Struthio camelus: one gene and its partners. The protein of the gene in region 3 interacts with the protein of the main gene of each other region in a biochemical or structural test. Links are inferred from orthologs where the notes say so. Each region holds a gene or a part of one and is shown on either strand. Other genes may lie near its edges. The genes, in order: RNF20, RAD18, UBE2A and RNF40.

Region 1 (7,640 bases), on a different chromosome or scaffold from region 3:
GTTCAGATAAATCTCACTTTCCTTGCCCCATCTCATAACGCAACAATACAGAGCTTACCAAGATACAAACCAATTTCTGCATAACAACTCTTTAGAATTTAAGTGCATTATAGCTATGGATGATAGACTTAGGCTTATTCGGAGGAAACTAGTCATAGCACTGTTTCCAGAATCAATGCTTACAAAATCCCTCCATATGTAAGTGCCCTTGATGTTAGTAAATAGTTCAATGGGTATCCCTAGTAAATGTGCCCAAGCCTGGTGCACTACAACATGGCTTTTTCATTCCATTTCATACTCATGGCAACAGCATTGGACCCTTTGCTACATTTGTGAGAGGAGAAAAAAAAAATTGTCCTACTTTCGCAACCCACCCTTTGGCATAGTAAGGTAAAGGCAAAGTGATACAACAGCATATGATACTAAAGCAAACCTTAAAGAATCAAATTATGAGCACGGACTGAAGCTCTGTGCTTCAAAGGTCATATTTAAAATGCAACCTGGTAACTTTCTTACTGGCTGTCAGACTCTGATAACATGCAAGTCCTTGTTACACAAATCAACCAATAAGAAAGAGGTGTCTTTTAAGGCACTAGGATTTCTATTGTTGCTTCAGGAAGCCCATGATCAAAATAACAGAAGAATAAGATAAAATAATTTTGGAACCCGTAGTAGGTGATTCAGGAAATGAAGGGGGTTAGGCAGCTCAGTTTAGGAACTTCATCCTATTTATTTATTTATTGCGGTTGGTTTTCCAAGGAGAAAGCTACATTTGCTTTGAAGCCTAAGACCTGCAGGCACACAGGACAGGATCTGGCACTTTCTTTTGGAGTTAAGTTCCACTAATGAGCGTCTTCCTTCTCCTTCTTTTGTTTTTCTGTTTTTCTGGAGATTTTCCCTACTTTTCCTGTCAACCACATGATCTTGTGTAGTAGGCTTTCGGCGTATGTGTAAACTACCACAGAAAACAATAAGGGTTGTGTTTCATACCTGATATTCTAAGGTAACTACCCATCTGTTTGCCCTGCACTAAATACAGAAAAGGAGAACCTTGTGCTAAGGGCTAAGCAACCTTGTAATGTAAGATAAAATCAGTATGTTGTCATGAAGTAACAGGTTTGCTTTCACTTCACGGTTTAGCTAATGAGAGGTAGACTTGTTTGTGTGCTCACATAAAAAAAGACTTTTTCCACCCAAAAATTTATGGCAAGGGCTTAGCTCCATTTAATTGGGGGCTCTGGTTAGCTCTTTTAAGGCAGTCAGTCTGCAGTTCTGGATACTATTCTGCTTTGGCCCTACCCAGTGGTTGCTTGAGGACTGCATTTTTATAGCTTAGTCCTTAGTTCCATTTCTTTGACCTCTTTCCTTGCGTCTGCAACTTACAATCCCCTTCTCCATCTGCCACTGACAGCACCACCAGCTGACTGGCTGAAGCGTTTCTGCTCCTGGCTGTGGGATACATCTTTCTTCTGCTACATGTTCAGCAGATTCTAGGGCACACAACCTTTCCGGAAAAACAGAGGATTTCTCTCAGCCATCTGGGACAACGCCTCCTGTCAGCCATGTTCTCTGACTGAGTTTCACTTACAGATTTTTAGCAGGATCTGTTATGAACATCATGCTGCCTCTTATATGGCAATTTCTCCCAAAAGCAGCAGAGTTCTGCTGGATGAAGGATCTTTTGTGATTTGTCCTGGGTGTGTCAGACTTCCAAATTTAACTAGATGCCTGCACGCTGCCTGTCCAGACACACCTGGATAGCATGTGAATAGTTCACATTGCTGAGTCTCATCATCTTAGTTTACTGAAAAGGAAGCACTTCAAGCCATTTTCTAGGACTTTCATACCAAATGTTTGTTGTTCTTTGAGATGTATACATGCTATTCCCCTTAAAATTTGAGAGACAGACAACATTTAGGCTTTCATAGGTCCTTTTGATTTGGAATAGAGATTGATTTGACGAGAGGCTCAGGTATTCTCAGCGCAATTCTGGTCACAAGACTAAAGTCTTGTTTACACTGGCAGAACCAGTCAATTTGAGAGCCCTTTTGTAATCACTGCCCTAGCGTACTACTACTAGGAGCTCAGAAGTATCCTCTGTAGGCTGTTTCTTATGCTAACACAACTTTACTTATTCATTTTACCTCCAGTTTGGGTTGATGTTTCTTCATATCAGTCTCCTCTCTGCTCATATTCAAACATGAGCGCATGCTTTTCCAAACCTCTGCCCCAGTAATTCAAATTCCTGAGTAGCTGTAGTTTTGCATGAAGAATCTGCTTAAATCTCTCCTATAGCTATTGCAATTGAAGGACCTTGGTTAAACCTGCCAGTTTCAACAAGATGCAACACTACTTAAAATATTCCTAATGGACTGAAAATACTTCCAGATTACTCCTGCACACCTTGTAGTTCCTCTTCAGTGAGACTGGATTGCTCAGTTCTTCCAGTTTCTTCAGACAAGTATCTCAAGTATTAATACTCCCTCTCTTTCTCTCTTTAGCACCCTTATCAAGGCTTGCATTTCAACGATATCTGTCTTATCATCTGTGTATAAGAATTCACGAGGACATGGTAGCGAATCTATAATATCACTAGGGGAACTGCATATTCCTTCTAAGAACGGGAACAAGAATCTCAGTACTCAGAGAAAGACTACATGCCTTTCAGGAGTTACGTAAAGATCAGTGATAAAGGAAAGGAGGAGGAGGGCAATTTTGCTGTCTTCAGTTTGTCAGCGGTGTGCAAAAGTACACAGGTATCCTGAAATATAGCTGTCTCATTACTAGCATTACAGTCTGGCTGGCTAAAAAGGATTTTCCTGTTTAAACCTCTTTCTAGGGCACGCCCAAACTGTATGTAGTATACACTACATAAAATGAGAGCTCAAAGATCAATGTGGATATTTACTGAAAACATGGTAATTAATATAGATACTGAAGAGAATATGCTGAGTAGGAGGCTGTTTTGCAGGAAAAGGGTTTTTTTTTTTTCTGTGTGAAGGAAACACCAAGGTATGCAGAGACAGAAAAAACAGAAGATGAAATAAAAGTCTGTGACTGTCCTTACAGTCACAGCTTTGCAGTGATGATGTAAAGCTAAATTTTTTTTCCTACACAAGTCTATACAAGATCAGCATTCAAGGTGGGGGGGGGAAGGGAAAAATAGCACGGCGTCAAGGTGAAGAAAGCGCAAAGACTGAAAGCTAATGCTCATTCGAGAACCTGATTTTGAGTTTGTTCAGTTCAACAAAAAAGCTTGCATTGGTTTCAAAGATTTTCATCAAGGATTGCCTGCAGTAAGTATCAGTGAGCTCCCTTACCTTTTATTCTCAGCAAAGGGGTCTTCAGCTGAGAAATGCTGTGGGCAAAAAATGCATTAGCAAATATTTTGTACTTAGCAAGGCTTGAATGCAACCTTCTAAAAATACCCCGAGGGAGTATTCACCTTTTTAGTTCCGTTACATGACCATTATTCTCTGCTGTGCTATCACGTGGACGCAGACTTCAGCTAAGCTGGTAAACTGTCCCATATTAAGTGTTCTCACACTTCCTCATAAAACCAAGAAACTATCTTGCTCGCCAAGCTAGTTGTTGCACCTGCAGTGAAGAAAAAAATCACACAGGAAACATTTTCTTCGGAAACTTAGAATTTAATTCAGCCTAAAATCTTTTGTCTGGTAGTTTATTACTCTTGGGTATAGCAGTCACTGATACTGAGATTTTGTAATATGGCCACTGTTTTCTCTGTGGTGTTTTCAAAGAGAGAACAAAGAAACCAACTCTCGAGTTGGCAAAAAGAGACTCTCTGGGACTGCACAGAAAGCTTTCAGTTCCCTAAAGAGGCACACCTATTTCAAAATGATAAACAGAAAATAAACCCTGTCATACTGATCATGTCTGCTTCTGTTTTTCCACGTGTCAAGTGTTTCACCCTCTAGCAAGACGGGCGGACATGGAAACACGACTTTAAACAACAGTGCAGTTGGAGCTAGGCCAGGCGGAGTAGATGCGTTATTTTTATGTGGCGTTACATATACGAACAGGTGACCTGCATTGCAAAAGTTCACATACACCTGAATCCTAACTTCCTCAGAAATGAGGAAGTAGTCTCTTCTTCCCGTGCCTTCCTAACACCGCCCGCCCTGGTCGCTGCGGGGAGAGCCGAAGCCACGGCCCACGACGGACGGCGTTTCTCTCCTGCCGTCGTCCCCCCTGCCCGGGCGGCAGCGCTGCCCTCAGCCCCTCGCTCCTCCCGCAGGCGGGCAGCGGCGGCCGCCTCCGCCGCGGCCCTTCCCGGCAGCCATTTCGCAGCCCCGCGGCCAATGGACGAGCCCGGCGCCGAAAGAGAGACGCGTCCTCCCCGGCGCTGCCCGCGCGTCCCGCCGCCGCCGCCGCTCGGGCTGCCTCGGCCGCGCCTGCCCCGCCGGGCACCACCGGGGCGAGGAGGGAGGGCGGGCGCACGCCGCTGCCCCGCCTGAAGACGGCGGCTCGGCGAGGAAAGCGCCGCCGCTGCGGCGGGGCGGTGGCGACGGCCATCGCACGTGAGGGCAAGGGCGCTGGCTTCAGACGCCTCGGCAGCGCCATGGCAACGGCAGCCATGTCGGACGAGCGCAAGCGGCGGGCGGCGAGGCCGCCATGACGGGTGAGGGCGAGATGGCGGCCGGCAGCGCGGCGGCGCAGGGGCGGCACCGCCTGGCGTCCTCGCCTAGCGAGGGCCGGGATTGGACGGGAGGCGGCGGCCGTCACTTCCGGCCGGCCGCGGGGAGGCGGCGGCGGCGGCTGGGGGCGCGTATGGGCCGGCGGGGCCGCGGCCGGCGGTGCGGGTGCGGCGGGGGGCGCGTTGGGGACAGTGGCGGTGCGGCGGCGAGTGCGGGAGGGCCCCTGGGACGTGGGTGCCCCGTGTGTGTTGAGGGGGAGGGCCTGTTGTCGGAGCAGTCGTGTTGACCGCGGGGGGAGGTGGGCAGCGGGAACGGACGGGAGGCTGCCGGCGTAAACGGCGGCTGTGGAGGAGGCCCGAGTTTTGTATATGAGTGAGGAGAGCAAAAGGGATTGGGGGAGGGTGCGTTTCTTTGAAGTTGGCGTTGGTTGTGAGGTGGGATGGGTGGGGGCGGGGCAGAGGGAGGTGAAGGGTGGGATCTGTGCAGCGAGGGTGGCTGTGTGCACCGGGCAGAGTGAGTTCGTCATGGAGGGTGGGAGAGAGGAGCCTCGAAGTGTGTGGCAGGAACGGGCAGCTGTGTCGGGGGTTGTCTGGTTAGTATTGAGTTTAAAAGCTCAAACCCAGTTAGAAGGTAAGGGGCTGTGTATAAGTGGCGAAATATTACGTCTGGGGAAGGTTGCTGTCCGCAAATGATTGAGGGGGGTTGACTCTTGGCTGGTGGTAGGTGGGGGCGATGCCAGGTGGGAGTGTGTTTTGGTGCCTCTTAGTAAGAGAGGTTTGAAGGTAAGAGAGAGGCAGGAGGTATGACAGGCTGAGTGCCTGGTAAGGGAGAGCACCAGTCTTTGGCGAGCGTGGTCTGCTGTGGAGGTTGAGTGTGAAAGGACTGCGGCTGAGCTTGGGATTCAGTTCCTCAGGGAAAGCCAGGGGCTGTGGTCCTGAAGCCTTAGGGGCTGAGTTCTGGCACAGGGTACGTGAGAAAGTGAGTATATGAGAGATGGTGCCAGGAGGCAGTACAGTAAATGTTTTGTCCAGGGACAAAAAGGTTGAAAGGTGGTAGTCATTAATAACTCCTTGTCCTGAAGCATAGCAAATATAGCTTAGCAAAAGGTGTTCTCTCTCTGTCTGTCTGTCTCTCTTCTCCTCTCTCTTTTCTTTTCTTCTCCTAATTGTCTAGTCCTTGTAGCTAAAGTCATTGCCCACTGCATTACATTGCTGAAAGGAGAAAAATAGTTAAATGGAAGCTGCCTTTGAAACGTTTTTGAAATTAGAGATGTATTTAATGTTTTTTATTTCAAGACAGGTTATAAGAGCACGGGGAGAGATGTGTGGTATTTCAGTAACTCATTTTGAAATAGCCTTGCTACCGTTCTATATATGGTGAAAGCCGTTGTCAGAGTAAAATGCTGCTTAAAGAAGGTTTGGCAAAGCCACCAGTGTGCCAGCTTAATCTTCAAAATACAATAGCCTCATTACTTTCAATAGAACTACTCAAATAAAGCAAGTACATAAGTACTGCCAGGTTCATTTATAACCTGTAGTTGCACTGAAAGTGCCATTTTAGACTAAAATGGAAAAATACAAATCTTATTTGTATGCTATGCATTTTGTTTACTTTTATGTTTTAGTTAGTTGGGAAGTAGAAAGAGACCTGTAGATTGCATGGCCATTGTGAATATGGGAGAAGAATGCTACTTTCATCAAGTGAAGATCTAATTTGTTTCCTTGCCCAGCACTTGCAGCTGTATTTGTTTTGCAAACCTTTTGAAGAAATATTTGTTCCTTAATTAAAAAAAATCATATAGAACTAGTAGTCTAAAGTTTTTTCAGATTGCATTAATTTGGTCCCAAATAACGCTTCCAGAATGTTTATATCTCTTTTGAAACACACATAGCAAACTTACCAGAGGAGTCTTTACCAACCTCTCCTTGGAACTGCCTTTCATTTTACTAGTGTTTCTAAGGTCTTTATGTGAACTCTTATACGGCTTATCTTTGAGGTGCTGATGCCTTCAGCTTTATTTGACTGTGCATGTTGTTATCATAAGAATCCGGCTGGTACAAAGTGTATGCAAACTCAGGAAGTCTTTGGGTTATAGATAGTTCCTTGTAAAAGACAAATCATTTTTGTTAAAACACAGAGATAGAAAAGCCACAGGCTAAACCTGCATGAAATTTTTTTCCAAGGCGCATGACAAGGCACAGTGACTGTTTCTGAACGTTGCAGAGCAGTGGCTCTAATGCTATGTTATTTCTTTCATCCTTTTGCTACTCACCATGCTAGCCCTGCTGGGGCTACTCACTTTTGAACAATGTTTTCCAAAACTTTCTGAGTTAGATTTTTCTGTACTGTGTTGGGCATCTTACTGTGATGAATTGGTGCATTAAAAACCCTAAATGGAATTGACTCGGGGGGGGGGGGGTGTGCACGTGCATTTACTGTTTTTTTTTTTTAAATTGTGTTCTTTAATGTTAACGCAGAACTTAAAGAAGGGACAGTCTGCTACAAATCAGCCGCCATGTCTGGAGTTGGCAACAAACGGGCGGCTGCAGAGCCTGGCCCTTCTGCACCCCCAGAGAAGAAGGCAGGAGTTGAAGATTCAGGGACGACAGTGGAGACCATTAAGCTAGGCGGCGTTTCCTCAACGGTACGTCTTCCTTGCACACCTGCACTCAAGCTCTCGCTTGCTTATCTGGAAACAGAACTATCTTTCTTCCTTCTTTCTGAGCCCGGTGACCTTGGTTGTGGAGCATGCCAGTGCTGTGCCAGATGCATTGGTCTGACTTGTGCTTCTGCACAGGAGGAGTTGGACATCCGTACCCTACAGACCAAGAACCGGAAACTAGCAGAGATGCTGGACCAGCGGCAAGCAATTGAAGATGAGCTACGGGAACACATTGAGAAACTAGAGCGGCGGCAGGCCACTGATGATGCCTCTCTGCTGATTATCAATCGTTACTGGAACCAGGTTAGTAACATACTTTA
Region 2 (7,844 bases), on a different chromosome or scaffold from region 3:
AATGAAAATGACAGAGTAGAAACATACAAAGCATTGCCAGCAAATAATCCACTCCATTAAGCTTAAACTGAAAGAAGCAAGGTGGAGAGAACAAAGAGGAACAAAACAAGCTTGGCCTCGGGACATTACAAACCTCTGTAACGAACAAGAGTCAAGGATGCCACAATTTACACACCAGGCATCTAGAACTCTAAGTGAACAAGCAACTCTGAAACCTGCTTAGCTAGAAACAGGCTGGCAAGTTCAACAAAGATTTTAAAAAAGAGAAATCCTGAATGACAGGAAAGAGCTCCCTCCAACAGCTGTGGACATTTCTATATGAGTAAGTCAAAGCCCCACTTTCCACACTACTCTTGACACAGGCCAAGACCGCAGAGCTGCGCTCATGCTGAGCTGTGCTTGGACGAAGGCTGCGACTTGGGAAAGCTGCTAATTCACAGGGGGCTGATGCGGTCAGTAGCTCTTCCCATCACCCAGCTCAGTCCCTTGCTGGAGGCCGCTGCAGCGCGCGGATCGGAGACATCCCTCAACCATGTCACAGTCACTGGGTCATTTAAGCCCTTTAGATTCCTCAGGAGGGGCAGCATGTTTTAATACTCCTACTACAAGCGGTAACGAACACCAACCAATAAGAAGCACATCTGGTGGTAATAACCTCTTAAACCACCTCAGCATAAATTGATTCAGTTTGCGAGATGAGTTTAGGATTTAAAAAAAAAAAAAAAGAAAAAAAACAGGAAGGCCCTACTTTTAAGGCCTTAAAGAAATCCTGATTTATTGTAGAAAACTTAGGCTTGTTGCAAATCGGGAAGGAAAAAGTCAAATATATAACCTGTGAAACACAGTAAGATAGACAGTTTCTTATTCAAGTTAAGGGCCATTGAACTGAGCTGTGTCACAGGCAGGCTAGTAACACCAGCTACCGTAAGGAATTTCCAGTGCTTCTTCCACTGTTTTCAGTCGCTTACAGTTTTACCAAGCTAAGCTAAATCTCATTGCCAAACTACAACGTTCTCCTTTTTGTAAGACAGTACTACAGTTTCTGAATGAAACAATCATAGGCATTCATTTTAACATGAGACAGGCAGTGTACTTTCTCCTAATCTGACTTCAGTAAACCGTTTTGTTACCACCTTCCAACAGATTTCAGCCTGAAGCAGACAGTGTGGCATGAAAAATTCTAGCTCATAATACTCAATGCTTTCTGCCATACAGCTCTGAGATTTGCTCCTACCTCAAGATTTTATGAAAGACATTTAAATGAAGGATTTTAGGAATAGATGGGATTTAAGTTAATCCAGACAGTATGTGCATTTGTATCATCATCAGAACAGAGGCTGCACCCAAACTGCTCGTGGAAAAGTTGGTGGCTGCTTCACAGCTCTCATCCAAAAGAGGTCCTCTGCAATATTGCACAGGCAAACTTCTTTGCTGACTAAACTGTGGAGTAGCACTGAAAATTTTGTAAAGGAAATAAAGGATCGATAGCCTCTGCACTACACTCCAGTAAATAATAATTGGTCAAACGATGGCTTGTCTATAAAACCATAGAGGAGAAAGTTTATAAAAGTAAGTTTAGAAAAGAAAGTTTCTTCAGTGGCTTTCTGTCACACAGATAAGGCGCAAGTGGATTTTGTCAACCCGTAATAAAAACCACAAGGCCACTCTCCAGTCCTGTGTTTTCCAGGAAAGATATAGGAGGACAGAGCCATCCACTCAATATTCTATATGCCTTCTTTGGCCTTCTGTTTTCGTCCTAATCTGTCAGCTGAATGACAGATTAGGCATAACTGGAGTCATAAGGCCAAGATGCACTACTATCACAGCCACCCTTATACTCCTTGGAATAAATGGGAAGGTGCAAACTAAACAAAATATAATCTTAAATTATATTAAAAGCCATAGCATAGTGGGAAAAATGAATTCATCACCCATTTAGCAACTTGCCATAAAAAGATCACTTTGACTCCTATTCTAGAGCCATTCATAAGTCTAATTTTTATTAAACCTTGATTTTAATCACCCAAATCAATACAGATTTTTATGTGATCTTCAATAAAATACAGTGTTAATCATGGGACAGCAGGTATAGATTTACAATGAAAAGGAAATAACAGTTCCACGTTCACCTCTATGAACAAAAAATAATAGCAAATTACAAGAGATAGTAGGATGAAATGAGTCAAGAACAGCAAGAAATTTACATAGTACTTTCAGTACAGGAAATCATGCTTCCTTAAATCGTACTTACAGTTATGTGAGCACTGTGGAATGATCATTGCAATATTGAAGTAATCAAAACATATCCCACACCGCAACAAGTCGTCCACCGCCTGAAAGGAAAACACAGGTCACTTAGAGGACTTCTTGCGTGAACCGCGAACGAGCAAACACACACTTCGCACAGCATAAGACCTTGCGCACCACATTCTTAAGCGACACAGACCGAAACGCACCACCCGCAGCCCGCAAGGGTGGAATTTAATGCCCGGCATTACTTATATCCGAAAGAGGTGCCGCGGCAGACCCCTGCAGAGCGAAGCCTCGCCGGGCGCCCGGCTGGGGACGGCGAAGCCTGAGCAGAGCGGAGCCGGCCGCCCTCAGCCCCGGGCCGCGCCGGGCCCAGGCCCTTCCCGCCGCCGGGCGGACACCGCTCCCCTCACGGGCTCCCCTCACGCCTCCCCCCCCGCCATTTTGGCTGCCCCCCTCGGCCCGCGGCCGCCATGTCACCCTCCCCGCGGGGCGCAGGCCCGCCGCCGCTCCGCCCTCACGCGCCTTCAGAGGGGCCAGGCCGGGCGGCCACGGCGGCTCGGGCAGGGGCAGAGGCAGCGCCAGCGCCGCGGCGGCCATAGCGCCCTGGCACGGCACGACACGGCACGGCACGGCCCTGCCGCGGCCGCCGGCGCGTCCAAATCCCCCGCGCTCCGCGCGCCGCGACGTCGGCGCGCTTCCGCCGGGCTGCCGGGAGTTGTAGTCCGCGGGGCGGGGGCGGACTCGGCTTCCCCGCGGCTTCCCGGGCCGCCGCGCGGGCTGCCGGGAGTTGTAGTCCGCGGGGCGGGGGCGGACTCGGCTTCCCCGCGGCTTCCCGGGCCGCCGCGCGGGCTGCTGGGAGTTGTAGTCCGCGGGGCGGGGGCGGACTCAGCCTCCCTGCGGCTTCCCGGGCCGCCGCGCGGGCTGCCGGGAGTTGTAGTCCGCGGGGCGGGGGCGGACTCGGCCCCCCCCGCTGTAGGCGCGAGCGGAGCGTTTAACGGCTGCCTGAGGGGCGGCGGTGCGCGGCGGGGGGGGGGGGGAGCGGCCTGCCCGCGCCTCCGCGCCCGATACGAACCCAAAACTGAGCATTTTTTCCCCCCAACTAGAGCATATTACTCATTTTTCATTTCCTAATGACGTTTAATTCAAAAACTCGTGCTCGGGGAACGTTACAGGCCCTGCGGAGGAGCAGCGCGCGAAGCGCTCGCCGGGCGCCGGGTGGGTTGTCGGGGGCGGCCTGGCGCCGGCGGGAGGCCGATGGCCCTGGGGTGTGCGCGTAGCCCCCCAAAAAAGGCTGCGTTTAAACGGCCTTTGAGGCAAGGCCGGGCCGAAGGCGTCGGCTCGCTTGAACCGACGCGGGCAGAAACCCCCGCACCAGCCAGTGTTCCCTTGTAGTACGCAAGGGACGGACTAAGATCCTGTTCTGAGCCTCAGTAATTCACATTATTTTTATAATAGAGCCCCCATATGACATTTTGCTTTGTAGAAATACTCAATTTGCCATTCAGCTTTCATCACTATTTTGCTTTCAGAGAGAAATGGAAGTGAGCCAAAAATAACATTTGCAGCAGTGTTTTGGGCAGATACAACATGTTTTGGCTGAAAACAAAGAACGGGTGCAGTGGTCAAAACGGTAGATAGACTGTTAGTGCAGGGGTTAGCTGTGTGTAGAGAGAGGGCAGTCCAGCTGGTGCAGAGCTACTGCAGCACAAAGAGTTAGATTTAGAGACACCGCTGACAGCAGGATGGGGGAACCCGGAGAAGAGGCCACGTTAAAAACCAAAACCAAGCCCAGAACCGTCCAGGTGGCACGCTGAGCGTCGGGGCGTTGATGGCAGCGGTCGTGTCTGCGGTAGCGCGGGTAGGAGAAGGTGGTTACCCAACGTGGCTTTCCTTCTCTCCTTCACTGTGACACGATACAATATCCAACTTTTCTCTCCAGGTAGGGAGAAAAGCATGTTGACTGGGGTAAAGGCTAAAATCGAGTTTGGATCTTCTTTATGTCAAAGAGATAGCGGTGTACATGGGGAGCGTACCAGGCGGTTACGCGCGGTCGCAGGGGCGCCTGGGAGATGGAGCTGATTTTGCAGCTGGTCTGACTTTGCTGATCTCAGCAGGACTACGTCAAGGATCTGTTTACTCCACGGATTAATAAACGCTGAATCTGCCAGATGTGGTTTTGTTTCTTCAGCAATGGAGCTATGTCATGCTATCCCTTGTCAACGCTATATCAGCTTCACTGTTTAAAAGCATGTGTTGCAGCAGCAGAGTTAATGGCAACAAGAAGTCAGGATTGTGAATTGATTTGTTTTGCAATCTAATATTGCTGGAACAGTGTGATATAATAACTGAGGAAAGACAGGTGACAGAGTAGGACAGGGGACACACATAAGCGCTAAAATCATGGCACTCATTTCTATGCATGTGTCCTCTTCACTGCACTCTTATGGATGGTTTCTAGATGCCATACAATTCTCAACCACTGTCATAACTGTTCACTCAGGTGAAAAATGAGATGCGGCACTGAGGGATGCTATTAGCTGCTATGATAGTCTTTGTCTGTGTCTTCCAGGGTATATTCATTTAAAAAATAGCTAAAACACTGTCCAAAACATCTGGGGAAATGGTCTCCTACTTAACTTCTCTTTTGCAATTAACCTACTTCATCTCAGCACAGGTAACTTTTTCTGTTTACATTTCTCTGTAGAGGTGTACGTCAGACCTGTGCTATGGGAACAACCTGCTGTATGCGCGTACCTGTCGCGGGGATGGGTTGCTATGGTAACGCACATTATCACCATCGCTTCCATCGGCCACAAAGGCTGAGATTGAGCTGCTTGTTCTCCTCAAAGTGGGCACCGCAAAACCCAGGCTAAAAATAAAAAGCTGCATGGATGGAAAACAAACAAAAAGGGGCAGGTAGCACTGATCATGACTGAGCACTACTGATGCGCTTGCAGAAGGTTTAAAAGTTGTCCAGGAGTTTGGGGAACTTAGTGCATTGCCAAAGCAGTATAGGATAAAATGCCAAAACAAGTCTAAATGACTTTGAATCCTCAGTCCTATCATGCTTTGGAAAAATACTCTGTAAAGTAAGAAAATAAAAATGTGATATATTGACAACAGTTAGCACAGTAGTACCTGTGCTTCCGCAGCTCTATTTCCTTTTAACTTAAAATCTGATTTTATGGAAGTTTTTCCACCAATCTCAACGTGACGCTGTTTGCTGGTGTGATTAATAGCTGTCTGTGTTGGAGAAATATATGGATTTGCTGGCAGAGGTTGCATTTCTACTGTAAATACCAATTATGTCAAAATAGATTTTTTTGCACAGAAAACTTCTGCTTCAATACGCTTGCTTGGAACTGTGCCGTCATCCCTCTGTCTTCCTGCAGTGTATTCATTAGTGTTTATCAATCTTCTTTAAGGTAGCCTGTCAGTTCTGCTACTGACATTTTCAGTAGCAGATTACACTAAATATGGCTCGATGAAAGGAATGACTTTATCTTGGAAACAGTCACACTGAAGCATCTACATTGTCTTATAAAAACGTCCCAGGAAGGGCCACCCTCTTCTTGCTTTTTCTAATAAACATTGGCAATGCAAGGCAGAGTTCAGAAGATGAAATTCCATTTCTGCTAGTACCTACGGTTTTCCAGAGCGAAAATGTGCTTTGCCTTAACAGTGACAAAGCTTCATGCAATCCAAATTTCAAACGCTAAGGCCTAAAGCAAGGTCATGCCAGCTGCCGCTCAAGGAGTGCCCGATGCACAGCGTGCTCAATCAAGATGAGCAGATGCCAGTCCACCAGCAGGCAGCCCAGCATAATCCACTGATAGAGTTCCCTGCGTGCTGCACAGTTATGAATTTTATTACTGATTAAATTTATAGGAGCAAAGGTTTTTCCACATACACATGCAGGTTTAACATTTGTACATTAATCTGCAGAACAGTAATATCTTGCTCTCTGCCCTCCTTCAGCTCACAGGTTGGTTTTGAGCACCTCAGTTTTGCACCTGCCAGTGACTCAATTGTGCTGTTATCTGAAAACCATGCACATGAGTGCCTCATTTTTCCCATAAGACAAGTTTTGCAGTAGTGCAATTTCAACGGACTTGCTCCTGATTCACTCTAATCTGCTTTTTTGGTAAAATAAAGTCAAGCTCCATGAACTGGTACTCAATAATTCTTTTATGTACACACACACACACACACACACACACACACACACACACTTTTTATGTATATATATAGGACACACCATGACCATAGGATGGAGGAGGTCAGAACAAATTATCATAGTAGTCTCTGCTGGGCTTATGCTTTAAATCTCTGAATTTGTATATTTGAATGGTACTAATTACTGCCTGAGATGTGCTAAAAATACGTAGTATTTACAGGATAATTTCATTGCAGTTTAAGTGCTTGTTCTAACATTTTAAGGAATCCATTTCTTCTGCTTTCTCTAAGCTATGAGAAATTGATATATCAGTTTCTTACGGATCTTTTTAAATTTTCTCTTCTTTCTCTTCCCTCATACATTCTTGTTCCAGTTTCACATAGCTTATGAGACAAGCTTATTGGCTAGCGATTAACTGATTCTGCCCAGGAATTGACATAAGGGTTTCATTAGCACAGCAACATGTTTATTCTGTACTTTGGTAGACTGATGAATAGCAAAGGGCAATGTGTTTATTGCTGAGCCACAGCTATGCATGCTGCTACTGAATAAGTAACAAAATATTTCCATGGTAAAACGCCTTATGAAACAACCTAGAAGAAGTGGGGAGCGAGCTGAGGAGCCCTTCAGCTGGGGTATTAATAAAAGCTTCTCCTTTGCCTCGCTGCATGAAAATGCAGCGTTTGGCTCCAAAATGCCTGCTATTCGGTGAAATATTCTTAGAAGTGGCTATGGGTTCTTGGCAAGAGGGGATGGGCAATGTACGGCGACCCTCGTCCCCAGCGACATGGGAACTGCATTTCCGTGGAAAGGCAAGTCAGGACAGCTGTGAGACGGCATTGGGAAGGGAGGAAAGCGCTGGCACGGTCTCTGCTCCCGCCACTGAGAGGGCACCAGGCCTCAGGTGCCCCAGCATTACTGACACCCCTACCACATTCTTCACTGTGATGCAAAATTATCCTGACGGGTAGCGATTGCGTTCCAAGCACTTAATTTGTGAGACACGTTGCCGTGAAGAAACCCGTGCCCTGGGCAGAAGAAACCTTCGCCATCACCAGCAGCTACACCAAGAGCAATAGGGTAAGGGAGCCCAGGTGGCACCTGCTCAGGAGGGGCCGCGGGGACGGCTGTGTGCCCATAAGGCATGGTCCCCAGAGACGGACGCGCATATGCGTTGCTTGGCCGCCAGTCCCTTCCTGCTGGGTCATCGCTGATGGAGGAGGTTGGTTAACTGGAGGCAGAAGAGACGGAGCAGCCTGCCGGGAGCTAGCTGTGGAAGAACGGCAGACACCCCTTCCAGCTCCCTGTCAAACAGCCGTCCTCATCTTAACCTCCAAAATAGCATCTTTATTTTTGTACATTTTTCCTTCTGGAAAAGGCTTTCCCACAGGAGCATTCCCAGTGCAACCCACTG
Region 3 (7,370 bases):
TCACCAGAACGAGGATGAAGAACTGTAATTTTCACTGTGCTGGAATTACTATAGCTGCAGTTTAACAAGAAAATTTTCACAGGCTACTTTCACACAAACCCATATATTTGGAGTCTAGCAGTACCACCAGGAAGTGACAGAGTTCAACAACCAAAATACAAAGTGACTTCTGAAGAACTAAGCCCTGTGAAGACTTCACGGGAAGAATTACAGAACGCTAGCATACATTTGGCTCACGAGGGGCTGAACAGCTACAAAACAAGCCCAAACTAACATCTGAATACTGTTAAATAGAAGGTCCTTTTATTTTACCCACATTAAGCTAAACTGCATCTTAACTGTGCTACCATTAGTCCTCTCAGTTAAGGGGGGGAAAAAGCACATAGAAACCACTACATCCATATCTCTAGGCACCACTTAGTGTTTTGTTATCTAGCACAATGTAAGATATGTGCCAGGGGAAAGGAGATAAGTGTATCCTGCAGCTCAAGACATATCTGTTTTCCTGAGCATGCGCCGTGAAAACACACACTTTGCTATGAAAAGAGCAATCCATCAGACACCAAGATTATATTATTATAGCAACCAAAGCAGTAGGACAGCCGTAGCCAACACAAGCATCAGTTTGAACTTCAAACTGCTGAGAGTGCAAGAGGCCCTAAGTATGTGAGATAAAGGCACAATACTACCATAATGGAAAGCCACAGACACAATCAATAAGTCAGGGCACTCGGAAGCAGTCTCCAGTCTTCAGTCAATAAATGGATACATATGGAGAAAGCCCTTATAACATCTGTTTACCTCATGCTGAACTGGAAGTGACTGAACATGGAAACAACCTGCAATTTACCAGGTCCACACTGGAAGGAGAAGGCCTCCAAACAGCAAATCATTCTATTAGTGCCCGTGTACCAAGAACCCAGGCAGCTCTATCAACCCTCACAGAAGTTTAAGGAAGTCCTCCTCTTAAGTTTCCAAGATGAGATTACAGAAGACACTTGTGCCATTTCTGTGATATTTGTTGGAGAACACTCAAGTTCCAAACCACATTAGACTTTCTTCAAGAAACTTCTAGAGCTTCTTGCATAATCATGTATTTAAAAACAAAAACAAGTAAATGGAGTTTTCTCAGGTATGAGATACTGAAAGTATTCAACATCTTCACCGAAGAGATGTGGAATTTACAGGCCTGCCTACAGGTGCTACCTCTGAGGATAAGCAGAGACAAAGGAGCCAGCCAAAAACAACTTAAGAGTTAAAGAGTTTTTCCTATGCTTTTGGCATGAGTCATGAAGATCTAGGATTAATTATAGCCCTGCACTGAAAGTATCTTAAAATAAATAAATAAATAAGCAAGCATCACTGAGTTCAATTAGACAGTATTTCATGTCTAACGAGTTTCTACAAAGATGCTGAAACATTCATACAGCATCAGTAGAGCTATAAAAGAGAGCAAGGCCAGACAGAAACAAGTAGTGCACAGGTATGTTACACAGACCTATTTAGTCAGCTTTGAAGTTGAAAAAGTCATTTTAATCTTTAACCTGGAATGATACTGATTGTAGTAGAGTGAGGTAGGTGGCAAGAAAAGAAACTTCTATTCTGAACTTCCTCAAACACCCAGTCCATATCCTTATGTTACCTCGCTCACACTGGGACCTACTTGTAAAGCATTTTCAGCATCAAAAAAGACACAACCCAAGATATGTCATTCGAGATGACAACAGGTCTATACCAGGTTTTTGGCAGTGCTCCAACTATAAACACGATCTCTAAAACACGATCCAGAATTCAACAAAAACGTTCTGATATCCCTAGAATGGTATGTTAGATCAGACAGAGGACAGCCTGATTTGGTGATTATGAGCAAGCCTCTACAGGCTAATTTGCACGTTTTCATAAATCAAGGTCAACAGGCTAATTTGCATGTTTTTGTAAATCAAGGCAGCAATCTAGGTCTATTCCACTTTCTTTAGGTGGGGAAGGAAAGAGATGCACTGAAGTCGCGGGCGCGGCACGGCGACGGAGCGCTGCCAGGCGGATCCCGGACTCGCCCCCTCCCCACCCCAGGCCCGCAACTGCCGCCCGGCCCGCGGCAGGGCCCCACCGAGCCTGTGCCAAGCCGCCCCTCACCCGAGAGGCCCGCGCCCCGCCGCACTTACCGTCCTCGAAGGGGGTCCCCTCGGGCCTAGAGGAGAGGAAGCAGAGCACAGCGTTACCGCGCGGCACCTGGGCTCGCCCCCCCCCCGCCCGCCCGCCCGCCCCGCGGCCCCACTCACCCGAAGATGACGGCGTTCCACACCATGATGTTGTTCTCGGAGGGGGCCCCGCTCACGCCGGCCGGGGGATCCTCCTGCAGCCTGCGGGGCACACGGAGGGCTCAGGCGCCCGGCCCCGGCCCCGGCGCCCCCGCCCCGGGGCGCCACCGGCGCGGCTCGAGCCACCGGCCGCCCCCCCCCCCCCCCCCGCGCATTTGGCGTAACCCGGGCAGGTAGCTACACGCCCCTGCGCAAACAGCGTAACCCGCGCCCAGACGGCGTGGCCCGGCGCTACGCAATCAGCGGAGCGCGCCCTACCCCGCCGCCATGTTGTGCTGGCCCCCTCCTCCCCCGGTGGAGCTGAGCCCTTCTTCCTCCTCCCGCTCGCCCTTCCCTTTCCCCTCAGCCAGCGGCCTCGATACCTCTTGAAGTCCCGCATGAGGCGCCTACGGGCCGGAGTGGACATGGCGGGCGCAGGGTTATAAATCACTCATACACTATCGGAGGGAGAGACGCGGCGCCTAGGGACGGCGGCGGCAGCAGCGAGCTCCGGAGGCGGCGGCAGCGCTGGAGAATAGGAGCGACCGCGGCCGCTACCACCGGGCCGGCGCGGGGGGAGGCCGCGGGCTGCGCCGACTCCTCCGCTGCTGCCGGGCGAGCCCGGCCTGTACCAACTGCCGCGAGGGGGCGGGGGGCGGAGCCGGATGCCGCTCGGCCCTCGGAGCCGCCTCTACCACCGCGGCGGAGGGGGCGAGGCCTAGGGCACCGGGGACTGTACCAATGCCTGCCGCGGACGGAGGGAGCCGGAAGCGGAATGGGCCTGCTGACGTCATGGAAGGAGGGCGGGCCGCCTTGCCTTCCCAGAGCCGCGTCGCGCGTTCCCCCCCGCGGCGGCGCTGCTGGTGGGACGGGCGGGCCGCGGCGGCCCCGCCCCCGGGCGGTGCTCAGCCTGGGCGTTTTGTGGTGGTAACTCAGTGGAAAACGGTGTCTGCTTCTGCTGCTGTGTTTTGCTTGTGGCTTAGAGGGCAGGTGACGTTGGGCGTCTTTTGGACCCGTGGTTTATTATCATTTATTTACTCACAGTAAATGTTTCTTCTTCTATAAGCGTCCGTGTGCCATCTCCTGTTTGCATTGAATTGTTTCTGAGCCAACATCCACCCTCCATTAAAATCTGGTAGCTAGTGCACTAAAATCATAAGTCTTTAGTATCTTGACTAATAATTAAAAGAATGAAGGGAGGTCTTTCTACTCCTTCACCTGCTATGGTGCATTTTCTGCTCTCGCATAGTCTTCTAAGAGAAAGTAATCTCTCTTCTACCTTTCTTGCAGCCTTTGAGCGTAGAGAATTTCTCTCTGCTACGACCTAGAAGAGACTGGATAGACCCTGTTTTTGTAACTTATCCACATTTGTATCTTATGTAATATAGTTATGTGGGGAGGTGGCTTAAGAAAAAGACGTGGGAGGAAGACTCATTCCCATTGACAGAACTTGTCAGGTAAGAGAAAGAAATGGCTAAAGCTTATCAGACATTGAAAATATTGCTTGCATGGCTACACTGAAAAATCTGTCTTATTCTTGGCCTTCCCTACTTTTACTCAGACTGCACAATAAGAAACGGGCAAGTTATTGATGTTTGTCCAAAAGAGACTTTGTTCCACTTCCTGGGTTCTGGTATGCATGAGATCGCTATTCCTCTGCGGACGATCGAAGCCTGGACAAACCTGAACGGAGCTATTCGAAAGGAAATCATTTTTAACCATCTTTCCATTCCTCACAACTCGGAGTGCCTTTGTGCTGAGATCAGGCCCAGATGAGGCTACTTTATTTGTTGCTTTCAGAGAAATTACTCAAGGTCTGAATTCAGCTGTTCCGGCTCTGCTTCTAACGTGCAATCGCGCTGGACTGTCCTGGAGTTGGAAAGCGGATCCGTTTAGCTCCCCTGGTGCTGACCCGTGTGACCAGCCTCACGCTTCCCAACTGCAGGAGAAGCAGCCATAGCCCCTCGGTGCAACCCGCTGCCTCGCCTGAGGGAAGGGGCGCTCCGCTCCCGGCGTTGGTTGCTCCGTCGGCCGCTTCGCCCGTGACGAAGGGGCGGTGAAGGGGCGGCCGCGGCTCCGCCCGCCGGGGCGGCGCTGCCGGGCGCCGCCATGCCCAAGGTGGTGTCGCGCTCCGTCGTCTGCTCCGACACCCGCGACCGCGAGGAGTACGACGATGGCGAGAAGCCGCTGCACGTCTACTACTGCCTCTGCGGCCAGATGGTGTTGGTGCTGGGTGAGCCGGGCCGGGCCGGGGAGCCCCCGGGCAGCGCCTTCCCCTCAGCGGCGGCGGCCGTTGGCCGGGGGGGGGGGGGGAGCGGGGCGGCCGTTAGCGGCGCGGCCGTTGGCCGGGGGGGGGGGGAGCGGCGCGGCCGTTAGCGGCGCGGCCGTTGGCCGGGGGGGAGGCGGCGCGGCCGTTGGCCGGGGGGGGGGGGAGCGGCGCGGCCGTTAGCGGCGCGGCCGTTGGCCGGGGGGGAGGCGGCGCGGCCGTTAGCGGCGCGGCCGTTGGTCCCCGACGCGGCCCGTCAGGCCGAGCGGGGCGCTCGGGGCCGGGGAGGGGGGAGAAGGAGGGGGGCGCCGCCGCCGCCGCCGCCGGCCGCGGACCTGAGCGGCCGGGGCCGGCCGTGTGCCCGCAGACTGCCAGCTGGAGAAGCTGCCCATGCGGCCGCGGGACCGCGCCCGGGTGATCGACGCCGCCAAACACGCGCACAAGTTCTGCAACGCCGAGGAGGAGGAGAGCGTCTACCTGCGCAGGTGGGCCGGCGCCCCGCTCGGCTGGGGCTCGCCCCTGCTGCGCGCCGGCAAGGACACTGCTGGAAGCGGCGTCTGAAGGGGGCCGGTGAAGGAGCTCGGGTTTGATGCCCCCCCCGCCCCTTCCCCCGCTGAGGATTACCCCTCGCAGCTTCCCCAGCGTCTGCCCCGTTTATCCTCTCCGTCTGCTGTGTCCGTTTCCCTTGCTATCCCAGATGGGGAGATCCTTCAAAGTCCCTCTGTAATTTGGGAAAAGTGAGCGTCCCAGCCTTCATATCCCTATCCTGCTAGAGTCACTTCCTTTTACAGCCGAGTGGTCGTGTCTGGGGCCTGTGCGCTTTTCTTAACGTGCTCTCTCTCTCTCCCCCCAGGCCAGAGGGTATAGAGCGACAGTACAGAAAGAAATGTGGCAAGTAAGTGACAACAGAGCCAGTGTTCACAAGACAGCAGAAAACAGTGTTTGTGCGTGCTTGTTTACATTTTTCAACCCTCCTTGATTTGCCGTGCCTCCTTAGAAATAACATTTTAATCCCTGTTTTAGTTACTGAAAATAGCCCTCCTGAGAAGGGTCTGTTACAGTGTTTTACAACCTTGATCCATGTCAAATCTAAAACTAGAATACTGCTTGACGCTTCCTGTCATTTCTGTACAGCACTGTTTGTTTTATTGAGCTACTTGTTTTTGTGACCTAGGAAAACAGGGATGAGCTAAGCGTGTGTCACTGAGTGCAAAGGAAAATGGGAACACTAGGATAATCAAAATCAGAAGTTACTGACTAATTTTTAATGGCTGCTGATTTATTCTGGTATCATGCGTTTTTGTAAAAGGCTTCAACCTTTCAAAGTGCATTTCAACCCTTAATTGCTGCAAGAACAGGAGCATGGCAATCGTGATTTCGTTTAGTAATTTTTGGAGTCCGTCTGTTAGGTAGCTACGGGAATCCAGAATCTGGGTTTTCTTACAGCTAGATATGTTTCTGTTTTCAGGTGTGGACTGCTGCTCTTTTATCAACACCAACAGAAAAACGCTCCAGTGACTTTCATTGTCGATGGTGCTGTGGTCAAATTTGGCCAGGGCTTTGGGAAAACAAACATATATACTCAGAAACAAGAGCCTCCCAAAAAGGTAATCAGCTTTAGAGCAGTAACAAAGCTGTCTCTGCTTTTCAAAAAGGTGCAGTGGATAAAATGGCCTAATTGGGAGGAGGAGGAGGACCTGTAATAAGATAACTCAGCTCTGTCTTCTCCATGTGTGCCTTTAGTCTTTCGTTACAGAGGTCACAGCAGCTTGGAGTCCTAGAACTAAAGGACAGCAAAGTGAATTTGGAAGTCTGGACTCTGCCTGATCTTTGGCCTCAGTTACCAGAAAGTTTCAATTTGTAAATAGGTCAGACTGGTAGTCACCCCAGTCTGTGTTGCCAAGCGCACAGATTCTCAAAATCTGGCTCATCTAGTTATATGTAGGCAAGTTTGCTCCTGATAATGACAGCTTTGAGCCCGGAAATCACTGGGGCTGCTTCTGCTGTGCCACCCACAAAGTTCATGTAATCTTAATGACTTGTATAGAAGCCTTAAAAGCTTTGGGGTGGGGAACACTTAGTAACTCAACTGTTCCCAGAGTCTAACAAAATACTCTACTTGTCGTGCAGGTGATGATGACCAAACGGACCAAAGATATGGGCAAGTTCAGTTCGGTCACAGTCTCCACAATCGATGAAGAGGAGGAAGAGATTGAAGCGGTGAGTTTTCTCTGCCCTCAGTGCCAGTCAGATCTGAGCTGGGCAGCTGAATCAGAGCTGATGGTTACCTCACCAGCTGGATGAGATGCTATTAGTCTAGGGTTTACTGTTGCAAAGTGACACTGTGTTTCAGAGGGAGATTGCAGACTCCTATGCACAGAATGCAAAAGTGATTGAGAAGCAGCTGGAACGCAAAGGCATGAGCAAAAGGCGGCTACAGGAGTTGGTGAGTGTTTTCCTCACTGTTGAACACCAGTCCCTGTGATCTGTTGGCTGTCTATGCAGAAGTTATCTTGCAGATCAGACCGAGTATATCAGAGTATAGAGAGGTCTTGGTACAGTCATAGGTAATCTGTAGCTTTGTCAGGATCTTTTTTCCTTTACAGATTGTACAGAGGTGTTCCTCTAGTCCTCCTGAACTTAAAATCATGCACAACTACCTATCGAGCTAACCAAGGAGCAGCAGGCAGAGCTTTTGCAGGGAGACTCTCCTTGACCTGTTGGACAAGGAAAGTGGAAGGAGAAAACCATGCTGAGGCATTACCAACCAGAGCACCCCCAGTGCTGTGCTCTCAGGCTTGCTTGCC
Region 4 (7,736 bases), on a different chromosome or scaffold from region 3:
GACTTTGGGGCCCCGGGATGGGATTTTGGGGCTGGAAGACAGGATTTTGGGGTGTCAGGGTGGGATTTGGGGGTTCAAAAACAGGATTTTGGGGGGTCAGGACAGGATTTTGGGGGGTGGAAGACAGGATTTTGGGGTGCCGGGACGGGGTTTGGGGTTCGGGGACAGGACTTTGGGGCCCCGGGATGGGATTTTGGGGCTGGAAGAGAGGATTTTGGGGTGTTAGGATGGGGTTTGGGGGTTCAAAAACAGGATTTTAGGAGGTCAGGACAGGATTTTGGGGGGTCAGGACAGGATTTTGGGGTGCCGGGACGGGGTTTGGGGTGCCGGGACGGGGTTTGGGGTTCGGGGACGGGGTTTGGGGTTCGGGGACGGGACTTTGGGGCACCGGGATGGGATTTTGGGGCTGGAAGACAGGATTTTGGGGTGCCAGGATGAGATTTGGGGGTTCAAAAACAGGATTTGGGGGGGTCAGGACAGGACTTTGGGGGGTGGAAGACAGGATTTTGGGGTGCCAGGATGGGGTTTGGGGTTCGGGGACAGGACTTTGGGGCCCCAGGATGGGATTTTGGGGCTGGAAGACAGGATTTTGGGGTGTCAGGATGGGGTTTGGGGTTTGGGGACGGGATTTTGGGGGGTGGAAGACAGGATTTTGGGGTGCCGGGATGGGATTTGGGGTTCGGGGACGGGACTTTGGGGCCCCGGGATGGGATTTTGGGGCTGGAAGACAGGATTTTGGGGTGTCAGGGTGGGATTTGGGGGTTCAAAAACAGGATTTTGGGGGGTCAGGACAGGATTTTGGGGGGTGGAAGACAGGATTTTGGGGTGCCGGGACGGGGTTTGGGGTTCGGGGACAGGACTTTGGGGCCCCAGGATGGGATTTTGGGGCTGGAAGACAGGATTTTGGGGTGTCAGGATGGGGTTTGGGGTTTGGGGACGGGATTTTGGGGGGTCAGGACAGGATTTTGGGGGGTGGAAGACAGGATTTTGGGGTGCCGGGATGGGATTTGGGGTTCGGGGATGGGACTTTGGGGCCCCGGGATGGGATTTTGGGGCTGGAAGACAGGATTTTGGGGTGTCAGGGTGGGATTTGGGGGTTCAAAAACAGGATTTTGGGGGGTCAGGACAGGATTTTGGGGGGTGGAAGACAGGATTTTGGGGTGCCGGGACGGGGTTTGGGGTTCGGGGACGGGACTTTGGGGCCCCGGGATGGGATTTTGGGGCTGGAAGACAGGATTTTGGGGTGTCAGGATGGGGTTTGGGGTTCGGGGACGTGATTTTGGGGGGTCAGGACAGGATTTTGGGGGGTGGAAGACAGGATTTTGGGGTGCCGGGATGGGGTTTGGGGTTCGGGGACAGGACTTTGGGGCGTCAGGATGGGATTTTGGGGCTGGAAGACAGGATTTTGGGGTGTCAGGATGGGGTTTGGGGTTCGGGGACGGGATTTTGGGGGGTCAGGACAGGATTTTGGGGGGTGGAAGACAGGATTTTGGGGTGCCGGGATGGGGTTTGGGGTTCGGGGACAGGACTTTGGGGCCCCGGGATGGGATTTTGGGGCTGGAAGACAGGATTTTGGGGTGTCAGGATGGGGTTTGGGGTTCGGGGACGGGATTTTGGGGTGCCAGGATGCAATTTGGGGTCAGGGATGGGGTTTTGGGGGGGGGGGGGGGACACGCCACCTGGCCCCAGTAGCGGTTGACGATGAGGAGGGTGGCGTCGTCGGTGGCCTGGCGCTTCTCGAGCTTCTCGATGCGCTCGCGCAGCTCGTCCTCGCACGCCTGCCGCTGCTCCAGCCGCTCCGCCAGCTTCTTGTTCTTGAACTGCAGCACCTTCAGGTCCATCTCCTCCTGCGGGGCCCAGGCGTCCGGGCGCGCCGTCAGCCTCCCGCGGCGCCCCCCCACCCCCGGCAACCCGGGGTCCCCCCCCCCACCCCACCTTCCGCCTCTGCCAGGCTCAGGCCGCTCTGGGGGGCCCAGGTGTCCGGGGGACCCAGGCGTCCTGGCATCCCGGCCAAGCTCAGGCCGCTCTGGGGGGCCCAGGTGTCCGGGGCACCCAGGCGTCCCAACATCCATACCAGGCTCAGGCCACTCTGGGGGGCCCAGGTGTCCGGGGGGCCCAGGTGTCCTGGCATCCCGGCCAAGCTCAGGCCACTCTGGGGGGCCCAGGTGTCCGGGGGGCCCAGGTGTCCCAGCACCCATCATGCTCAGGTGACCTCAGAGGACCCAGGCCTCTGGGGGACCCAGGTGTCCTGGCATCCCGGCCAATCCGCGGGGCCCAGGCGTCCGGGCACCCACCAGGTTCAGGCCACCCCAGGGGACCCAGGTGTCTGGGGGGCCCAGGTGTCCGGGCCTGGGAAGGTCTGGCCACCCCAGGGGACCCAGGTGTCTGGCAGGGGGGAGGGGGGAGAGGAGAAGGGACCCAGGCGTCCGGGGGCAGGATGGACCCAGGCGACCGGGTGTGCAGGGGGGGAGAGGGGACCCAGGCGTCCGGGTGTGAGAAGGACCCAGGCGTCCGGGTTGGGGGGGGGGGGGGGGGGGGAAGAGGGGACCCAGGCGCCCGGGGGGGGGGGGGGGGGGACCCAGGCGTCCGGGGGCAGGATGGACCCAGGCGTCCGGGTGGGGGGGGGGGGGGGAAGAGGGGACCCAGGCGTCCGGGGTGGGGGGGACGGACCCAGGCGCCCGGGGGGGGGGGGGAGAGGGGACCCAGGCGTCCGGGGGGGGGACCCAGGCGCCCGGGGGGGAGGGGGGGACCCAGGCGCCCGGGGGGGAGGGGGGGGGAAGAGGGGGGACCCAGGTGTCCGGGGGAGAGAGGGGACCCAGGCGTCCGGGGGCGCGCAGCGGGTACCCACCGTGGAGGAGATGCCGCCGAGGCGCAGGGGCTCGATGAGGGTGGTCGGGGGCTGCTCGTCGCGCGGCGCCTTCTTCTCGGGGGGGCCGGCGCCCCCCTCGCCCGCCGCCCGCTTGCCCCCCGCCCCCGACATGGCGCCGGCCGGACGGGGCCGCCCGGAGCGCTGGCCGGTGACGCTGAGGAGCAGAGCGCGACCGGGAGTCGCGGTGAGTAACAGGGAGTAACAAGGAGTAACGTAGAGTAACAGTGAGTATCCAGGGGGTGGGGGGGAGGGAGCAACGCTGAGCATTGGGGAGTAACGGGGAGTAACAAGGGGCGAGGGGTGAACAGGAAAATGAGGGGGTAACAGGGAGTAACAAAGAGCAACATCAAGTAACAGCGGGTATCAGGGCGGGGCGGGGAAAGAGGGAGTAACGCTGGGCATTGGGGGGTAACGAGGGGGAAATGGGGAGTAACGCGGGGTGAGAGCTGAATAGGAAAATGAGATAGTAACAGCAAGTAACAAGGAGTAACACCAAGTAACAGCAGGTATCAGGGCGGGGTGGGGGGAAGAGGGAGCAATGCTGAGCATTGGGTGGCAACGGGGAGTAATGCAGGGTGAGGGGTGAACAGGAACATGAGAGAGTAACAGGGAGTAACGAGGAGTAACGCCAAGTAACAGCAGGTATGACAGCGGGACGGGTGGGAGAGGGAACAACACTGGCATTAGGGGGGTAACAAGGGGGAAACGGGGAGTAACAAGGCGTGAGAGCTAAATAGGAAAATGAGATAGTAACAGGAAGTAACAAGGAGCAACGTCAAGTAACAGCAGGTATCAGGGCAGGACGGGGAAGACGGAGCAAAGCCGGGCATTGGGGGGTAACGGAGTAACGCGGGGTGAGCGGTGATAGGAAAATGAGGGAGTAACAGGGAGTAACAAGGAGTAACATTGAGTAGCAACGGGTATCCGGGCGGGATGGGGAAAGGGGGAGTAACGCTGGGCATTGGGGGGGTAATGAGGGGGAAATGGGGAGTAACGCGGGGTGAGAGCTGAATAGGAAAATGAGATAGTAACAGGAAGTAACAAGGAGTGACATCGAGTAACAGCAGCTGTCAGGGAGAAATGGGGGGAACAGGGAGCAACGCTGAGCAATGGGGGGTAACAGGGAGTAATGCAGGGATGAGGGGTGACAGGAAAATGAGGGAGTAACAGGGAGTAACGTCAAGTAACAGTGGGTATCAGGGCAGAATGGGGGAAGAGGAAGCAACACTGAGCATTAGGAAGTAACAGGGGAACAAGGAGTAATGCGAGATGAGGGGGAAACACGAAAATGATGGCGTAACAGGGAGTAACAAGGAGTAACGGGGAATAATTAGGGGTGTTATAAAAGGGTAACAGCGAAACGGGCTGTAATGGGACTGGGAAAGGCCGGGGGGAAGGGGGCAGCGGGGGAGTAACGAGGGGAAAGGGGGGGAATGGGGAAGTAATAGGGGGTAACAAGGTGTTATTAAGAGAGTAACGCTGGTTACAAAGCAGGAGGAGCTAATGACGCAGTAACAGAGTAACGTGAACTAATAAAGCAGCAAAGCAAGAGTAACATAAAAATACAGAATAATAAAATAAAAAGGAGCAGTAACAAGGTGAGAAAAGGGGAACGGGAGAGTAATGCAGAGTAACAACGCAGTCACGCTACTCGAGAAAGAGTAACAGCGGTTACAAGGCGGAAAAAGGGAGCCAGCAGGGGAGAAAGGCAGAGGAGGGGGACCGTGGGAGTAACACAGAGTAACAAGGGGCGGTAAAAGAACAACAAAGAGCAGGGTAACAAAGGGGAGAAGGGAGTAACGAGCGGAAAAGGGGGGACGGGAAGTAACATAGGGTAACAAGCAGCAGGCGCTACGGGGGGGAGGAAAGGGGGGTAATGGTGGAGTAACGCAGAGTAACCAGCAGTAACAAGGGGGTTATACGAGAGCAACTGGAATACGGGGGATAACGAAAGGGGAATGGGGAGGTAACGTGGAGTAACATGGAGTAACATGTGACTTAGAGTAATGGTGGGTAGGAAAGGGAAAAGAGAGCTAACAGGGGAGTAAAACAAAAAATTGGGGGGGGGGGGAGTAACACAGGGTAACAAAGAGTAACAGTGCAGCCACAAAAGAGTAATAGGAAAACAGGTGGCGACGAGGGAAGAAAAAAAGGTGGGGGGGGGGGGACAAGAGTAACATGAAGTAACAAGACAGTCATAGAGAAGTAACAGGGATTGCAGGGGGACAAAAGGGGGCTAATGGGGCAGTAACACAGAGTAACACAGAGTAACAAGGAGGTTATAAGACAATAATGACGAAAACAAGGTAACAACCAGGGAAAGGGGCAAACGAAGGATGAAAGAACGGCGACGCCGGACCGACGGGCAGAAAGTGGGCAAACGGGGGAGTAACACGGAGTAACGAGGAGTAACAAAAAGATTACAGAAGACGAACAGGGTAGAAGCAGGGTAACAAGCGAACAAGGAGGGTAGGAGGGGACAACAGGCAAAAAGGGGGAAACGGGGAAGTAACACAGAGTAACAAGGAGTAACGACAGGGTCAGAAAAACAGTAATAAGGGAAGAGAGTAACGGGGGAGTAACGAGCAGAAAATGGGGGAATGGGGGAGTAACAGAGTAACGAGGGGTAACGAAGGGGTTGTAAAGGAGGGATGGGGAAACAGCACAACGAAGAAAAGAGTAATAAGGCAGTAACGGGCACAAAAAGGAGAAAGAAATACTAACACAGAGTAACAAAGGGGTTACGGGGGGGACAAGGGGCACGACGAATAACGGGGTAACAACAGGGGGATAACAGGGGAGCAAGGGGCAGAAAAGGGGGAAACAGGGGTAACGAGGGACTAATGAAGGGTAACGAGGGGGTAAAAGGGAGGTAACAGCGGAGAAGCGGGCAGAAAAGGGGAAACGAGGAAATGATGGGGGTAATGGGGTGCACGAGGGTAACGGGGGTGATACAGAGGTTGCTGCAGGGTAAGGAAGGGTAACGGGGTAACAACGGGGTAACACGGGAATAACGGGGGTAACAAGGTGGTAACAAGGGGTAACAAGGAGGATAACGGGGGGGACAAGAGAGTAACACGGGTCCTGAGGGGTTAATGGGAGGGTAACGGGGGTACCGAGAGGTAACAGGAGGGTAACAGGGGCCCAAAAGCTAAAGTGGGGGGGGGAACCAGGGGAGAACAAGGGGTAACAGGGAGGGTACCAGGGGGATGATAGAGGGTGATGGGGGGGCAATAAGGGAGGGATAACAGAGGTCTCCAGGGGTAATGGGGGGGGGTAATGGGGATGCTCAGGGGTAACAGGGGTCCCAGGGGTAACACGGAGTAGTGGGGGGGGTAATGGGGGTCCCCAGGGGTAAGTGGGGGAAGGGGGGTAATGGGGGGTAACGGCAGTAATGGGGGTCCCCGGGGTAACGGGGATGCCCAGGGGTAACGGAGTAATGGGATGGGGTAACGGGATGGGGTAACAGAGGGGTAACCGGGGGGTAATGGGGGGTCCCTGGGGTAACAGGGGGTAAAGGAGGGTAAGGGGGGGTGTTCAAGGGTAACAGACGGTAACGGGTGTCCCCAGGGGTAACGAGGGGGAATGGGGTGAACAGGGATGCCCAGGGGTAATGGGGGTAACAGGGGTCCCCAGGGGTAACAGGGGAGTAATGGAGGGGAACAGGACTCCCCCGGGGTAATGGGGGGTAACGGGGGTCCCCAGGGGTAATGCGGAAGTAATGGGGGGTAACGGGGGTCCCCAGGGGTAATGGGGGGGGAAATGGGGGGTATAATGGGGGTCCCCAGGGGTAATGGGGGGGGAAATGGGGGGTATAATGGGGGTCCCCAGGGGTAATGGGGGGGGAAATGGGGGGTATAATGGGGGTCCCCAGGGGTAATGGGGGGGGAAATGGGGGGTATAATGGGGGTCCCCAGGGGTAATGGGGGGGGAAATGGGGGGTATAATGGGGGTCCCCAGGGGTAATGGGGGGGGGAAATGGGGGGTATAATGGGGGTCCCCAGGGGTAATGGGGGGGGAAATGGGGGGTAACGGGGGGTAATGAGGATCCCCAGGGTAACGAGGAAGAAACAGGAGGTAATGGGGGGGGGGGAACAGCGGTCCCCAGGGTAATGGGGGGGGTAATGAGGGTCCCCAGGATAATGAGGGGGTAATGGGGATACCCAGGGGTAACAGGGGGTAATAGAGAAGTAATGAGGGTCCCTGGGGTGGGGGGGGGAACTGAGATTAACATGGGGGGGCCCAGGGGTAACAGAGGGGACAATGGGGGGGGGGACAGCACTACCCAAGGGTAATGGGGGGGGTGTAATGAGGGTCCCCGGGGTAATGGGGAGGGTAACAGGGATGCCCGGGGGTAATGGGGGGGGGGGTTATTGAGGAGTAATGGGAGGGTAATGGGGAGGTGTAAAGAGGGTCCCTGGGGTAACGGGGGGGGTAACGGGGGGGGTAACGGGGACGCCCTGGGGGAACGGGGGGGGGGGTAACGGGGACGCCCTGGGGTAACGGGGGGGGGGGTAACGGGGACGCCCTGGGGTAACGGGGGGGGGGAACGGGGACGCCCTGGGGGAACGGGGGGGGGGAATGGGGACGCCCTGGGGGAACGGGGGGGGGGTAACGGGGACGCCCTGGGGTAACGGGGGGGGGGGGGGTAACGGGGACGCCCTGGGGTAAAGGGGGGGGGTAACGGGGACGCCCTGGGGTAACGGGGGGGGGGTAACGGGGACGCCCTGGGGTAACGGGGGGGGGGTAACGGGGACGCCCTGGGGTAACGGGGGGGGGGTAACGGGGACGCCCTGGGGTAACGGGGGGGGGGGAACGGGGACGCCCTGGGGTAACGGGGGGGGGGAACGGGGACGCCCTGGGGTAA

What was found.
Region 1: the proteins of UBE2A (region 3) and RNF20 form a complex in vitro, tested with the Homo sapiens proteins (4 studies listed by BioGRID, with this or other methods). The link is inferred for Struthio camelus from reciprocal best matches to the Homo sapiens genes UBE2A and RNF20.
Region 2: the proteins of UBE2A (region 3) and RAD18 form a complex in vitro, tested with the Homo sapiens proteins (12 studies listed by BioGRID, with this or other methods). The link is inferred for Struthio camelus from reciprocal best matches to the Homo sapiens genes UBE2A and RAD18.
Region 4: the proteins of UBE2A (region 3) and RNF40 form a complex in vitro, tested with the Homo sapiens proteins (3 studies listed by BioGRID). The link is inferred for Struthio camelus from reciprocal best matches to the Homo sapiens genes UBE2A and RNF40.

What each region holds. Positions count from the first base shown.
Region 1 is NC_090982.1:15,765,583-15,773,222, reverse strand, and holds the start of RNF20 (E3 ubiquitin-protein ligase BRE1A), read left to right. Parts: upstream 1-4,617; 5' UTR 4,618-4,635; coding exon 4,636-4,642; intron 4,643-4,737; exon of another isoform or gene 4,738-4,823; intron 4,824-5,118; exon of another isoform or gene 5,119-5,250; intron 5,251-7,135; coding exon 7,136-7,302; intron 7,303-7,455; coding exon 7,456-7,623; intron 7,624-7,640. UniProt on the Homo sapiens protein: Component of the RNF20/40 E3 ubiquitin-protein ligase complex that mediates monoubiquitination of 'Lys-120' of histone H2B (H2BK120ub1).
Region 2 is NC_090955.1:1,140,565-1,148,408, reverse strand, and holds the start of RAD18 (E3 ubiquitin-protein ligase RAD18), read right to left. Parts: upstream 3,024-7,844; 5' UTR 2,851-3,023; coding exon 2,776-2,850; intron 2,664-2,775; exon of another isoform or gene 2,447-2,663; intron 2,334-2,446; coding exon 2,252-2,333; intron 1-2,251. UniProt on the Homo sapiens protein: E3 ubiquitin-protein ligase involved in postreplication repair of UV-damaged DNA. Postreplication repair functions in gap-filling of a daughter strand on replication of damaged DNA.
Region 3 is NC_090952.1:12,048,116-12,055,485, forward strand, and holds the start of UBE2A (ubiquitin-conjugating enzyme E2 A), read right to left. Parts: upstream 3,084-7,370; 5' UTR 2,725-3,083; coding exon 2,681-2,724; intron 2,361-2,680; coding exon 2,280-2,360; intron 2,189-2,279; coding exon 2,163-2,188; intron 1-2,162. Other genes in the region: STEEP1 (STING ER exit protein), read left to right, coding at 4,407-4,530, 4,931-5,048, 5,417-5,458, 6,032-6,170, 6,694-6,783, 6,917-7,009. UniProt on the Homo sapiens protein: E2 ubiquitin-conjugating enzyme that accepts ubiquitin from the ubiquitin-activating enzyme E1 and transfers it to a E3 ubiquitin-protein ligase. In vitro catalyzes 'Lys-11', as well as 'Lys-48'-linked polyubiquitination.
Region 4 is NC_090973.1:1,071,691-1,079,426, reverse strand, and holds the start of RNF40 (E3 ubiquitin-protein ligase BRE1B), read right to left. Parts: upstream 3,023-7,736; 5' UTR 2,981-3,022; coding exon 2,849-2,980; intron 1,848-2,848; coding exon 1,680-1,847; intron 1-1,679.